2 linked regions of the Stegostoma tigrinum genome follow. The protein of the gene in region 1 purifies or fractionates together with the protein of each later gene. This does not show direct contact. Links are inferred from orthologs where the notes say so. Each region holds a gene or a part of one and is shown on either strand. Other genes may lie near its edges.

Region 1 (7,624 bases):
ACCAAGTGAAGTTTCTGGAATAGCAACATCCTCAAAAACCTATACCAAACGCCTTCTAAAACTAAACATAAAACATAGTAAGTGACAAATGCAACGCAGGGGGTACACATAATTTTTATCCTTTATTTATAGCATTAATACTCAAACATCACAATACAGTGCAATTGGAGGTATATATATTTTTGCCAGTTTATCACGAGTGCTAGTTATGACAAAGTTTGCAGTGTTGCAAAAGAACCCTGAAGAACGTCTGCACGTACCACTGCGGACTTCACACTGCTGCAACTCCTAGCAGAGAGAACAACCAATAATTTTCCCCCCAAAATCCAAAGACATACAGGTTAAGAGGATTGGTCATACTAAAAATTGCCCTGTAGTGTCCAGCGATGTGCAGGTTAGGTGGGTTAGCCATGATAAAAATGTGGCATTATGGAGAGGGGAGAAGCTCGGTGTGATGCTCAGGGAAGTTCAACTCATGATCTCTGTCAAAAGGAGAAGTTAGATTTTTTTTCTCTGTTTACATAGGTGCAATTACATCAGATACTTCTTAGACCTGATGTAATTCAAATGTATTCGCTGTGATCATGTAGAACTACAATCAATTGCATGCAAAATCCCACAAACAGCAATAAAGCCTGGACACCTGAAGAACTTCCCTCATTCATAAAAAGCCTGGGGACCTTGTGCATCCATATTAAAGGACTGATGGGACCAAGGTTTAATATTGCACTCAAGACGACACCTTCAACAGTTATGCACTGCAGTATCAAAATAGGCTACATGTTCAAACCTCTAGAGAAATTTCCATACATTGCCTTCTGACTTAAGTCGGAAAGACTGTGTGGATTTACAAACTGTTTGTGAAGCAACTGTAGAGAGGAAAGCACAAGGACAGGTACAGCTGGTTGTTTTCAGCATGTATATGTAAATTATTGCTGGGTTTTCAAATGTTGTTGTTGTGAGACAACATGTAATAAGAAAAGATGTCAAAGAGGCACTCAGCACTGACACTTCTCACAATAACAATCCAGTCATGCGTCTTTTATAAGCTTATATGGTTTCAACCAGCAATTTGGTCATGTTTCAATTGTTCCTTTTATTATATGTCTCCTTCTGTAGTGGTGCATCTCAAGCACCATGAGCTGCATTGTTCTTTATTAAATTGCTGACACTTGTCAATCACAACCAGCAATTAAACTACTCAACAGCTTGATGCTCTCAGTTTAATTTACTGATGCCCGCACAAGAGGGTATAGTTCCACAGATATCTACCTCAAGATACTTGGTTGTTAAATTCAATCCCATCCCACCTAGGTATCCACAGCTACTGTCAGAAACCACAGCGGGGAGAAACCCCTTTAAATTCCTCCCCACTTCTTGCAGAGGGACAAGAGAGTTAATTACATTGTTCAATGCATCAGTCTAACTCCAACAAGCAACTACACTGCAATCCAATCTGTATAGCTAAGCATCAAACCCTACTTATTCACAGAAAGACACAGGTCAGGCAAGTCCCTTTCCAAGGAAACACTGCCAGTGTGTCTGCATATGAACAACTTCTCACTTTTCTTCACAAGCCCACCCAAAACCACCTTGAAAAAGAGAGCTCAGATCCTTGCTACACTGGACGAAGTCAGCAGTGGCTGACACTTTAAACAAAAGTACCAATTCCAGCATTATACAAGGGGCAAAATAAGAGGCATTTTTTGAAGTTGAGTCGTCACTTCTAAAATACAATGCCAGTCAGTGAAGTGTCTTGCTGACCCATTGCATGTCTTCAAGGAGGACCGGATCACTCCCTAACTGGCCCAAAAATCACATCATGGGTGGCAAATGTAACATGCTGCCCCACAGATGTCCACGACTGGCTTCAATTACTCAAGGAATTGAGTCTTTTCCCTCTTGAGGGAAGTGTTAGGTTTTGATTATCCAGCCATACTGAGATATGAGGCAGGTTCGATAGAAATATTGCTGTTTCTCTGACCATTCCTGAGGAATAATCCCAAAGACAATGCACCTTATAAAAATTGATGAATTTGGTTCAATACAAGACATTAGCACTGAAAATGGAAGACACACTCAAAAGTAAACAGTTTGCTCCCTTCACACCCTAGCAAGTTATCCCAAAACTGCTCTATTGCAAAATTTACCAAAACTGACTCTCTCAGCCAGTTTGCTAACCCATATAAATGTGAAGTTGTGGTTACACAAAACTTCCAACGAAACTGAACGCACAGAACATCCTAACCACCGCCCAATAGTGAAACTGAAGCGCACAGCAATTCCTGTACTACCCACGCAATTCTGTCATGGTGCTCACCTCCATCCTGCAAGTCAACCCTCTACCAAACTACCTCGCTCTCCTTCTATACTCCAAGCCCAACTGTCCCTTCCTACACTCCTTGCATCCGCCCATTCTTGTTGCCCAGAACCATTAATTTATTTCAAACCCTAGTGCCTCCCCTCAGCTTCCAGATCATCCTGCTCCCTACGCTGGGGTTGACTCATTCACAAACACTTCTTTTTACCTTCCATCTCCTGCCTGCATGTTTCTCTAAGCCTCCTGTCCATCCCATTTTCTAAACCCGACCCCCTTGACGTGCTCCTGCCCATCTTCAATCCGATTTTTTCTCCTGGCCGCCACCAAACTCTGTTCTACCTCCCTCCGGTACATTCATCCTCCTCGCCCGCAGATTCTGGGACGTTTTCCCCCCTCCTGCAGTTCGTGCTGGGAGCCGCAGGGAGAGGCGATGATCTGATGGAAACGCATTCGGCTCTCCGGCAGGACGTGCGGCCTGTGCCGGAGCCCTTGGCAGGACCACAGCCCCCCTCCTCCACCCAGCCCCGAGATCTCAAGCCCGCTCCCCGAGATTCACTCACCATCAGCTCAATACTTTTATCTTCGATCACTGAATCCGCCTCCATCGTGAACCACATACAAGGAGAATGCAGAGCTCTGGCTTCACCCCCCCGCCCCCCCCGCACTCGGCCCGGTCCAAACCCAAAGCCTGACGACAAGCGTCTGACGAAATCACGCCGCGCCCCTTGGTTTGTAACGTCATCCGTATCTGACGTCACGCGTTCCACGCGACCCCCTTCAATCGTCAGGAAACGCCACTGCAGGCCCCGCCCACTGACTCGGAACAAATTACTACAGAGGCTGGAGCTTGTGTTGAGAATGACAAAGTTCTGCAGGTCACAGCGGGTCAGGCAGCAGCTATGGAGGGAGATGCAGGCTGAAGCTTCCAGTCTAGACGATTCGTCATTAAAGCTGAAGTGAAGGGTGGCAGCATTTGTGCAACAGTGGGGAGAGGGCTGTGGGTGTGGAAAAGATGTTGATAGCCCAGATTAAGTGATTGGAATTCACGAATGGCTGAACAATGGTGTGTCTAACCGCCAGACTTGAAAGGCAAAACTGTCCCACAGGGGTGGCCAGAGGCGAGAGAGGTCATGTTGACAAAGAATGTAACAAGTAAAGCTAAACAAAACGGAAGAAATTGGAGTTGGTTCACAATTTGAAGGTGTTGGACTCAATACCAAGCCCAGAAGGCTGTAAATTGCCTAGTTTGAAGATGAGATGTTGTTCCTCTGGTTTGCATTGATTCACTGGAGCACTACAGCATGCTGAGGACAGAAAAGTATGCATGCAAACAGGACATGGGAAGGTGGTGATCATGTTTGCTTACAGACTGGAAATATTCTGCGAAGTGGTCACGCAGAATGCATTTGGTTTCTCCAATGTAAAGTGGGTGTTAATACACAATGCAATACACAAGATTGTAGCAGGTACTGTTGAAACGCTGCTTCACCTGGAAAAACTGTTTAGGATCTTGGATGGTGAGCAGGTAGTATGCGAAGGGGCAAGTGTGGCACCTTGTGCAGTTACACGGGAAGGTGCCTTTTGAAGGGTGTGTGGTGTTGGTGGTAGGAATGGACTAAGGTCTTCGCCAGTCTCTCCACTGCAGACTGGGACTGATTTGTCGAACACCTCCAGTCTGTACACAGTGCCTGCATGCTCGCTTGTCTACCCTCAGGACACTACAGTGTTCCGATGAATCGCAGCACAAACTGGAGGAACGACATCTCATCCTCAGACGAGGCACATTACAGGCTTCCGGACTTAATATTGAGTTCAAAGCCTTAAAATTGTGAGCCAGTTTCCGTTTTTTCCCTTGTAGCTTTACTTTTTACAATCGCCCATTTTTTCCATTTTGTTTATCTTGTCACATTCTGTCACCATGTTCTCTCTCCTCTTCCCCCACCCAAGTGGGACTGGCTTCTCTTTCAACTCGGGCAGTGAGACACACTATTGTTCTGCCTTTCTCACATTTCGATCATTCTCGACTAGCACTCTACACCCACCATCCCCACACCCTCCACCCTTCGCTACAGCTCTGATGAAGAGTCATCTGGACTGGAAACATTAGCTTGGATGCCGCCTGGACCAGTTGTGATCCCGAGTCTTTGGTTGTTTCCGCCCACTGACTGATCACTTCTCCATCAGGACCCGCCCCCTCACTGTTGACGTCCATTGCAGTACCACGCCCCCATATGTGGCCGCGCCCACAAATGCCCCGCCTTACATAATGGGCGGGGTTTCAGTAACACCGTCCACGGAAGGATGATTTCCCCATTAGCTCAACCCTCTCCCTTGCCGTGTCCAACAAAAGGTCACGAACTTTCATTACGTCACGCCCCCACTGTCGAAACCGAAACCTTCAGTCAACCTCCGCCCATACAATCAACCACGCCTATTCCGAGGGGCGGGGCAGCGGGGGGGGGCGGGAAGGTGAGGACTTTCGATGGGATACGAGATTGGGAATGAGAAAGATGAGGCTGGGATGGTGAGGGAATGGGACAGGGTGTAACCGGAGCTCAGAAAGGGACCGGTTGGGGAGGGAGGGTGAGGAGTGGGAATGTGGGAGAGACGGGGTTGGGTTGGCAAGGAGTTAGGGAGGTGTGCGGAGTGACGGGGTTGGGTTGACAAGGGGTAAGGGAGGTGTGCGGAGTGGAAAGGATGGGTAGGGCATAGGAAAGGGAAAAAGGATGGGAAAGGAAAAGGGATGAGAAGGGGAAGAGATGAGGTGCGGGTGTGGAATGGGGATAGGATGGGATAGGGAAGGGGATGGGGAGGGGATTGGCATAGGGGTGGGGATGGTGAGGGGAAGGGAATTGGCATAGGGGTGGGAATGGTGAGGGGAAGGGGTAGCGATGGGGATGGGAGGGGTTGGGGATGGGATGGGGAAGGGATGGGGAGGAACTGGGGATGGGGAAGAGATGGGGATGTGGAAGGGATGGAGAAAAGATGGGGATGGGGAAGGAATGCAAAGGGGATGGAGAAGGGATGGGATGGGGAGGGAATGGGGATGGGAAGGATAGGGATGTGGATGATGATGGGAAGGGGTGGGCGAAGGGGTTGGGGTACGGTGGGGTGGGGAAGGGGTGGAGATGGGATGGGGTGGGGATAGGGAGGGTATGGGATGGGATTGGGGAGGGAATGGGGATGGGCAGGGGATGGGGATGGGGAAGAGATGGGGATCTGGAAGGGATGGAGAGAAGATGGGGATTGGGGAGAGGATGGGGAAGGAATGTGGAGGGGAAGGGGATGCAGAAGGGAAAGGATGGGGAGGGGATAGGGGAGGGATGGGGATGGGAAGGATAGAGATGTGGATGATGATGGAAAGGGGATGGGGAAGGGGTGAGCAAAGGGGTTGGGGTGCAGATGGAGAAGGGGTGGAGATGGGGTGGGGATGGGGAGGGTATTGGGATAGAGGTGGGAGTGGGTGTGGGGAGAGGGGTGAGGAGGGGAAGGGGTTGGGATAGGGAGGGGATTGGGATGGGGAAGGGGATGGGGATGAGGAAGAGATGGGGATCTGGAAGGGATGGAGAGAAGATGAGGTTGTGGAAGGGATGGGGAGAGGATGGGGATTGGGAGGGGATGGAATGGAGATGGGGTAGGGATGCAGATAGGGGAGGGGATGGGGTGGTGATGGGGAGTGGATGGGGAACAGGGTAGGGGTGAGGATGGGGATTGGGAGGGGATGGAATGGAGATGGGGTGGGGATGCAGATAGGGGAGGGGATAGGGTGGTGTTGGGGAGGTGATTGGCCGGGGGGGGTGGAATGGGGATGGTGAAGCGATGGGGATTGGAGGGGCTGGGGGTGGGATGGGGAAGGGGATGGGGAGGGACTGGGGATGAGGAAGAGATGGGGATCTGGAAGGGATGGAGAGAAGATGAGGATGTGGAAGGGATGGGGATTGGGAGGGGATGGAATGGAGATGGGGAAGGGATGGATAGGGGATGGGTGTAGGGGAGGGGATGGGATGAGGATGGCAAGTGGATGGGGATTGGGAGGGGATGGAATGGAGATGGGGTGGGGATGGGGTGGCGAATGGGTTAGGGGAGGGGATGGGGGTAGGGCAAGGGATGGGATGGGGAATGGGATACGGGAAGCGATGGGGAGCAGATGGGAAAGGGATGGGCATGGGGAGGAGGATGGGGAAGGGGATATGGATGAGGGGATGGGATAGAGATGGGGAAGGAGATAGGGATGGGTGAGGGGAGGGGTTGGGAATGGTGAGGAGGGAATGGGAGGGATTGGGGATGGCGGGTATTGAGGATGGGGAGGGGATGGGAATGGGGAAAGGATGGAGTGGGGGAAGGGATGAAGGAGGGGATGGGAAGGGAATGGGGAAGGGATGGATAGGGGATAAGAAAGGGGAATGGATGGGTAGGGGATAGGAAAGGAGGAGGGATCGTGCAAGAGGAGGCAATAGGAAAGGGACCGGGATAGTGAGAGGTCAAGAAGGGGGCCAGGAAAGGGAAAGAGATGGTGAGGGGTCAGGAAGTGGATCAGGAAAGGGAAGGGACGGCGAGGGGTCGGGAAGAGGGCAGGGCTGGTGAGGGATCGAGAAGTTGGCTGGGAAAAGGGAAGCATTGTGGAGAGAGCCAGGAAGGAATGGGGAGGGGTTGGGAAGGAGGCCAGGAATGGGGAAGGGATGGGGTGAATTTGAGGAGTTTGGGAATGGGGGCAGATTTGTGTTGGGATGAGAATGGGGCGGTGATGAGGAGAGGGTGGGAGCGGTTGCGAGTGAAGAAGACATGAGTCAAAGTTGTGGGGGAGCTGGAGAGTTTGGGGACAGTGACAGATTGTGATTGGGAAGAGATGGGGAAAGGTTTAAAAGGGTTTGGGAATTGGGGGTGGAGCTAGGTTGGGGAGAGGTTGCCTTTGAGGCTGGAGCATCCCTAATTGGAAAATGAGATGTTGTCTTTGAGTTTGTGCTAAGGCTTGTTAGTGCTCTGCAGCAGGCCCAAGACAGAAATGTTGCCATGGGAACATGGCAATGTGTAAAAGCAGCAGGCAACAGGAAGTTCAGAATCATTTTTGCAGACCAAGTGTCACAGTTCTACGAAGTAATCACCCAGCCTGTGTCTACATCTCCCCAATTTAGACGAGCCCACATTATCAGCAGTGGATACAGTAGACTAGATTGAGTGAAGTGCAGATAAGCTGCTGCTTCATCTAGGAGGCATGTCAGGGATCTTGGAGGGGAAGGAAAGAGGAGGAGGTAAATGGGCAGGTGTGACACATTTTGCGATTGCATGGGAAGATGTGTGGAAATG
Region 2 (7,015 bases), on another chromosome or scaffold:
GAAAAGATCGGATTTCCTTAAGCAACATTCCTACCTCAACCAAATGAAAACTAATTGATCATTCTCTTTCTGCACTATGCACAAACCACACACCCCCCAACCCCAGTCCCACCCCTGGTACTTGGCCCAATGTGAAGGTCATTACTGGACCTCTCTGAGATAACACATGGTGCAATATCCATTCTGCCTTTGTTTTCTGATGCAGGATGTCCTTTGTCTTGCGTCACTGAAGGAGCAGCACTCTTTAACCTGTATACAGTTTGCTGCAAGAATACCTGAATAATACTTTCCCCAAAGGATTGCAAACTCTAGACAAGCAGCAAAGTCTCAAGTCACATGAGGGACAATGTAACCTGCAGTTTAGCTGGAATCATGTCACATCACTAATCTGAAAGTGCAATATCCTTAATGCTCTTTACCATCAGCCTTGACCAAAGCAGTGATTCAATGAATGAATCAATATATATTTGCTTCTAATGTGTATGATAAAGTTCATTAAAATGTGCGACACACACTACATGGCAAAATACTTGGTCAACACTCATGCAGAAGTGTGACATCTAGCCTCTTAAATTGAGGCCAATGAGAATTGTTTTATTACAAAGGGAAATATTGTGGATGCTGGTAAACTGAAGTAGAATTCAGTTTATTAGCAATTTCATTTTCATTTCATTTTGGGAGATGATACAAGATGAGGACCCTCTTTCACTTAGCTCCTAATTTTGCTGAAGGTGTGCATTCAACAGACAATGGAAGCCTCTGGGCAACCAAATTCTCAAAAGGACCAGGCCACGTTTTTCAGAGATAGTAAGAACTGACAATGCTAGAGTCAGAGATAACACAGCGTGGAGCTGGAGGAACACAGCAGGCCAGGCAACATCAGAGGAGCAGGAAAGTTGATGTTTTGGGTCAGGGCCCTTCTTCAGAGATCTGGCTCAGTCTTGCTTCCACCCCAGGGTTAGCGGCGTCCAGCTGAAAATGGAGGTAAAGATGGTGCTTTGATTTCGCGTTCTGAGGACGGATCATCAGACCAGAAACATTATCTTTGATTATTCTCTTCACAGATGCTGCCAGACCTCCTCGGCCTTTCCAGCAACTGCTGTTTTTGTTCCTGATTTGCAGTATCCGCAGTTCTTTCAGTTTTTATTATGTGGAAGTGCCTTGTTCGTTTCAAAATGAGACTTTGAGACTGTTATCTAAATGAATGGCAGAGTAGGTTTGGAGGACTGAAAGCCTGCGATCGCATGTGGGAGGCTCAGCAATGCGTTGGCTGGACTAGGGATGCGTACAGAACGACAATCTAGCATGAGCCAAACTCCTGGAGTGGCACTGTAGCTAGCACTGTTGACTCACAGTTCCATGGGGCCCAGGTTTGATTCTGGCTTTGGGTGACTGTGTGGAGTTTGCACATTCTGCCCGGGTTTCCTGCCACAGTCCAAAGATGCGCAGGTTAGGTGGATTGGCTGTGCTAAACTGCCCGTACCGTCCAGGGATGTGCAGGCTGGGTGGATTAGCCATGGGAAATCTGGGGTAGTGGGGCGGGTCTTTGAGGGATGCACTTCGCAGGGTTGGTGTGGACTTGAGGGGCCAAATGGCCTACGTCCACACCGTACGGTTCTATGATTTCTCTGCAAGGGAACAGCAAAAGAGTTTTAACGTCACAGAAAGTGACCGTTCAGACCGTGCCATTGCAAGAGAACAGAGGCCTCTCTCCCAGCCCGAAACATTAACTCTTCTGTCTCTCCACAAATGCTGCCAGATCTGCTGAGGTTTTCCAGCAACTTCTGTTTCGGATTTCCAGCATCTGCTCCAGCTCTTTCGGCTTTTCGACTTTATTTGAGTCTTAAGTCTTGACGGTCACATCTGACGTTAGTCTTGCACACGAATTAAACCAGAGCTAACCTACCACTCTACAGCTGGATATGAGTACACAGCATGCTGCGTGTAACCTCAAACTAGTGAATCAAATAGTCACCTCTCACAGCACACCTCCATATCCTGACATCCACGATTCTGTGGTTTTATGCGAGCTGTGTCACATTCATTGCAGCAGCAGATCTGTATTGGACAACCCCATCAGTATAACACTTTTACTGCACTTCGTAGGGCAGAATGCCGCAAACACAATCAGCAATTACATCAGATAATAAAATCTTTTTAAGTGTACACCAGCGCATGACCAGATGCCGGGCAATGCACAAAGTCCAGTCACCTGGGAGGAGAACACTTCAAAAGTTATACACACCTAACACAGTCATTGTGCACTGTCACTGTGCCTTAGCTTTTGCAATGGTTTTAAGGCAAATGGGTAGCTCACCACCCCCGCTTTTACCAACTGGTACACCTCAACTCCAAACCTCCACTCTTTCTGCCAACATTGCCTTCCAGCATATAGTTACCGAAGAAACACTGCACTTACCTCATCAGGTTTGGGTTTAACTTGAGGCTTCTTGAAGAAGGAAGTTCTTGCAGTGAAGAAATACTCTTCAGAGTCCTCTTCCAAACTGCTGTAACCGCTGCTCATAGTGCTAGTCCACGTCATCTGCAACAGGCTCCTTCCACCAGCTCTCCCTGTGTCTCTCTCTCTCACACACACAGATACAAAGCCGGAACAGAAGTGTACAATGTTCAGCGCTAAACCCAAGGCTAACTGACACAGTCCCTCATGCAGTTTCCCCTCTCTGCACTAAGAAATAGCTGGGACTCAGAGCCGTGCCTTGCTGTCAGCTCTCCTCAATTCGAGCGGAATTGGCTCCTGGCCGATTGACATTGTACATGAAGTCCCTCCTCTCTCACTTCTTTATTTCTCCCCAGACTTTTCGGCTCTGGATTCTCCAAGCGGAAAAAAAAAGTCCCACTGTGAGAAAGGGAGAGAGAAACTGCCCGAGTAGCAGCGACTTAACTATTCTCTTGTACGCTGGGGCTGATTGCTGGTATACAATAAATAATTTGTTGGCAAATCAGATGTTGCAAATCGACAGCTCACACCCACAACTGTAAGGGATGAAGTCATTACTGACCAACCCCTCCGTCAAGTTTCAGCGATTAGACTGCAGTTCGATTTCCTGTAGATCTAGCACCGGCTAAAAGTCGCCCAAAACCCGGAATAAATCAGTTGACAATAAGGTGTGAAAAGGACCTGTAATGTTTGTGTCCTTTGTAAGGCAAAAAGAGAAAGGGGTGGGGATTTTGTTCCACTGACTGAATCACAGTGGCACAAATGATATTTAATCTCGGCAGAGAGAGAAACAACTAGTCACAATGTTTCAATCTCTCCACTAGGTGTATTTTAATTTTGTTTTGGGATCATGTCAGGGTCGTTATCTCCCCTGGCTTTGTTTTCCCAGCTAACCGGCTGCAAAGTTTGCAAATCAGTCTAGACTGGTGCTACAGACAAGCAAACAAGCCCGCTACAGTTATCCAGCCTCACATTTTATTATCCCGCTACAGTTCTGTTGGAGCTCAGACTTCGTGTCACCTTCCAGATCTGGAGTAGTGTAGTGTTAGTGGCGGGGGCTTTATAAATCTCCTGATGTTCTCTCTGCAAAGTCCCCTGGTCCTCGCTCAGATTAAGCACACCCACACACACACAGTGATTGGAAGGGTCTAGGCCCGAAACGTCAGCTTTCCTGATCCTAAGATGCTGCTTGGCCTGCTGTGTTCATCCAGCTCTACACCTTGTTATCACACATAGTGTGATTGGCTTGTTTCCATGGATGTGGTGGGGGCAAGGGGGAATGTTCGGGATGGGAGAGTTCACTAGGACATGGTCTGTTAAGAATATAACATACTACAGTGCTGCAGACACCTTCCCCCATGCTTCAGAACCCCCAGCCCACAGAACGACCTGCCTTCGCTGCGCCCCCCTCACCCCCTTCATCGCAGTGATAGTCTATCTCTAGTGTTAACCCCATTCTATCACCCATCTGGATCATTCCTGCTTATGGTCTTTTCCAAATACCCCTCCCCTGCCAGTTCTACCCCCGAAACTGAAACTTGCCCCCTTCCCCCCTCCCCAGCTCTCACCCCACACACCCTCCTGCCACCGCAAGCCTCTTCTCCCCGCCCTAGGTAACACCTTTTCCTGGAAGCTCAGCTACGCCTCATCCCGAGCCTCCACAGATCCCTTCCCCCCCACCCAACCTTGTTCCCCACTCTCACACACACCCAGATCTCCATTCTATTCCCTGAATCCCCGCCATTATCATTCCTAAAACCCCTAGCCCTCACCAGAACCCTCCTCCCCACACACATCCAGTTGCCATCTCCGGAATAACTCATTCCCTCCCCAGGCACCTCCACCCTGTCTCTTTCCAGAACACCTGCCCTCACCATCATTCCTCCCTGACTGCCCCTCCCTCAGCATCAGGCCTACCACACACCATTCCACACCAGACCTGACCTCCTAATGCCTCTCTGTAAACTTCACAATTACTACCATTAGACCCTTGACCCCATCCAATCTTTCAAACTACAATCCTACCTATTTCAAACCTTTCCTTACAGATCAGCACTACTATACACTCACAAATCTACATGGGTTCTCAGTTAAGCCATGGCAGGATTTACAAACTCTCTGGGACTAGCCATTTGCATGTACTCAATGTTAACTTCTCCATCTTTGGCAGCAGTGTTTCTGTTGCCAAGGCCCTACGCTCTGAATTCTTTTTCCCCTAACCAGAAGGAGCATTCACACCATATCACCAAAGATAACAAGGTGTAGAGCTGGATGAACACCGCAGGCCAAGGAGCATCTCAGGAGCAGGAAAGCTGACGTTTCGGGCCCGGGCCCTTTTCTGATGAAGGGTCTAGGCATGAAACGTCAGCTTTCCTGCTGCTAAGATGCTGCTAGGCTGGCTGTGTTCATCCAACTCTACACCTTGTTATCTCGGATTCTCCAGCATCTGTAGTTCCTATTATCCCCGATACATCACTGTAGCCGTTTATAACAAGATAATATCTATCCATCGCACCTTGACTTTCAAAGGCATTACCTCCACTCAGCCCTACACTATCAGTATTATGAGTTACAATTGACTGGAAACTGAACTAGACTAGCCATATATCTACTTTGGCTATAAACGCAGGATTAAGGCTAGGGATACTGCAGCAAGTAACTCACCTCCTGGCTCCCCAAAGCTTGTCCACTATCTACAAGACACAAGTCAGTAGTGTGATGGAATACTCTCCACTTGCCTGGATGGATGCAGTTCCAACAACACCCAGGAAACTTGAAACCACCCAGGGAAAAGCAGCACACTTGATTGGCACAATATCCACAAATATTCGCTCCCATCCACCACCACCACTCAGCAGCAGCAGTATGTAATACCTACAAGTTGCACTGCAAAATTTCACCAAAAATCCTTTTGACAGCATCTTCCAAACCCATGACCACTTCCACCCAGAAGGACAAGGACAGCAGATACCACCTCTGCAAGAGACAAAGAAACGGCAGGTGCTGGAATCCAAGGTAGACAAACTGGAGGCTGGAAGAACACAGAAGGCCAGGCAGCATCTGGAGGAAAGGAGCAGTCAATGTTTCGGGTATTACCCTTCTTCAGGGCTGGATGTGGGGATAGGGGGAGCTGCAGATAAAGAGGGGGGGTGGGGTGGAGGCAGAATGTTGGTAGTGGGTATGACCTGGGGTTGGTCGATGGGAGGGATGAATCCAGTTGATGGCTGTTGGGGAGGGTCAGTAGGTGGAACGGAAGGGAGCAACGGAAGGGGCTGGAAAGGGAGCCAGGGGATGGGTGGGAAGGTTATTTGAAATTGACATTTGGGACTCAGTGCTGAGTACCCCAGGCTGTAGGGTGCTCAGGCAGAAGATAAGATGTTGTTCTTCAAATTTGCCTCCCATGAGTGAGTTTAAAACAAAACCCTTCACCTTCCTCTCAGTCTCTCCCTTTTTAGGGCTGAGATGAAGAGAATTGTTTACACCCAGAGAGTTGTGAACCCATGGAATTCTCTGCCATGGAAACCAGTTGAGGCCAAAACAGTAAGTGCTTTCAAGAAGGAGTTAGATACAATTCCTAAGGATCAGAGGGTATGGAGGAGAACGGGGACTGAGTTGGATAATCAGCCATGATCATACTGAATGGCAGTGCATGGTCAAAGGGTCGAATGGTCTACTCCTATTCTCATTATTTCCATGACCATCTCTTATAATGATCCCTTTGGGCAAGTGCTTGGTCACCTGTCCTAATGTATCCTTGTATTTGGTAACCCTGCCGTAAATGCTGGGGCCATTTTCTTTGGCCAAAATGCTACACAAGTACAAGTTGCTTTTGTTGTGCAATGTGTTCTTGCGGTGCACGCTGTTATTATGTTCATTTCCTATATTGTCAGATGTGACTCAGTCACACTTCAGGACTCAGGCAAAACCACCAACACTAAAACGCTTTCTGAAAAAGGACCTAGACCTGAAACATCAGCTTTCCTGCTCCTCTGCTGCTTGGCCTGCTGTGTTCATCCAGCTGTACAGCTTGTTATCTAAGACTGAAACTCCCTCAGCAGCATTGGGGAACTGTGGTGCCATCAGAGATGCTGTCATCGGATCAGGCATTAAACCACAGTCCTCATCTCTCAGGGTAAATGTGGAAAATCCCATGGCACCATACTGAAGAGGAAATGAAGGCCGGTTCTAAACATCACAGAAACTGAGTACAGTATCTGGGTCATTTGCCACAATACTGTTTATGGAATCGTGCTGTGTACAAATTGGAGCTGCTGGGTTAGAACAGTTTCTACCCCATTGGGATGGCCAGGGTCATGAAACTTATAAAAATACAACTTTTCTTTTGTAATTATAATTCCTTTTTTGTAAAACAATTGTGGACATCTCGAGGCTATGGCAGGTGCTATACAAATGCAAGTCTTTTTTCCTTGCTGTTTTATTTAGGCCACATGTGGAGTATTGTATGCATTTCTGGTTCCCGTACTTTAGAAACTATGTCGAGGTTTTGGAGAAAGTGCAAACGAGGCTTTACCAGCGTATTACCTGGATTAAAGCGTA

What was found. The genes of interacting proteins can lie anywhere in the genome.
Region 2: the proteins of F-box/WD repeat-containing protein 11 (region 1) and rassf3 purify together in Homo sapiens (affinity purification with mass spectrometry; 4 studies listed by BioGRID and IntAct, with this or other methods). This does not show direct contact. The link is inferred for Stegostoma tigrinum from reciprocal best matches to the Homo sapiens genes FBXW11 and RASSF3.

Annotation. Positions count from the first base shown.
Region 1 is NC_081366.1:65,882,531-65,890,154, reverse strand, and holds the start of F-box/WD repeat-containing protein 11, read right to left. Parts: upstream 3,008-7,624; 5' UTR 2,938-3,007; coding exon 2,881-2,937; intron 2,680-2,880; exon of another isoform or gene 2,675-2,679; coding exon of another isoform or gene 2,660-2,674; intron 1-2,659.
Region 2 is NC_081371.1:51,843,050-51,850,064, forward strand, and holds the start of rassf3 (ras association domain-containing protein 3), read right to left. Parts: upstream 3,007-7,015; 5' UTR 2,543-3,006; coding exon 2,420-2,542; intron 1-2,419.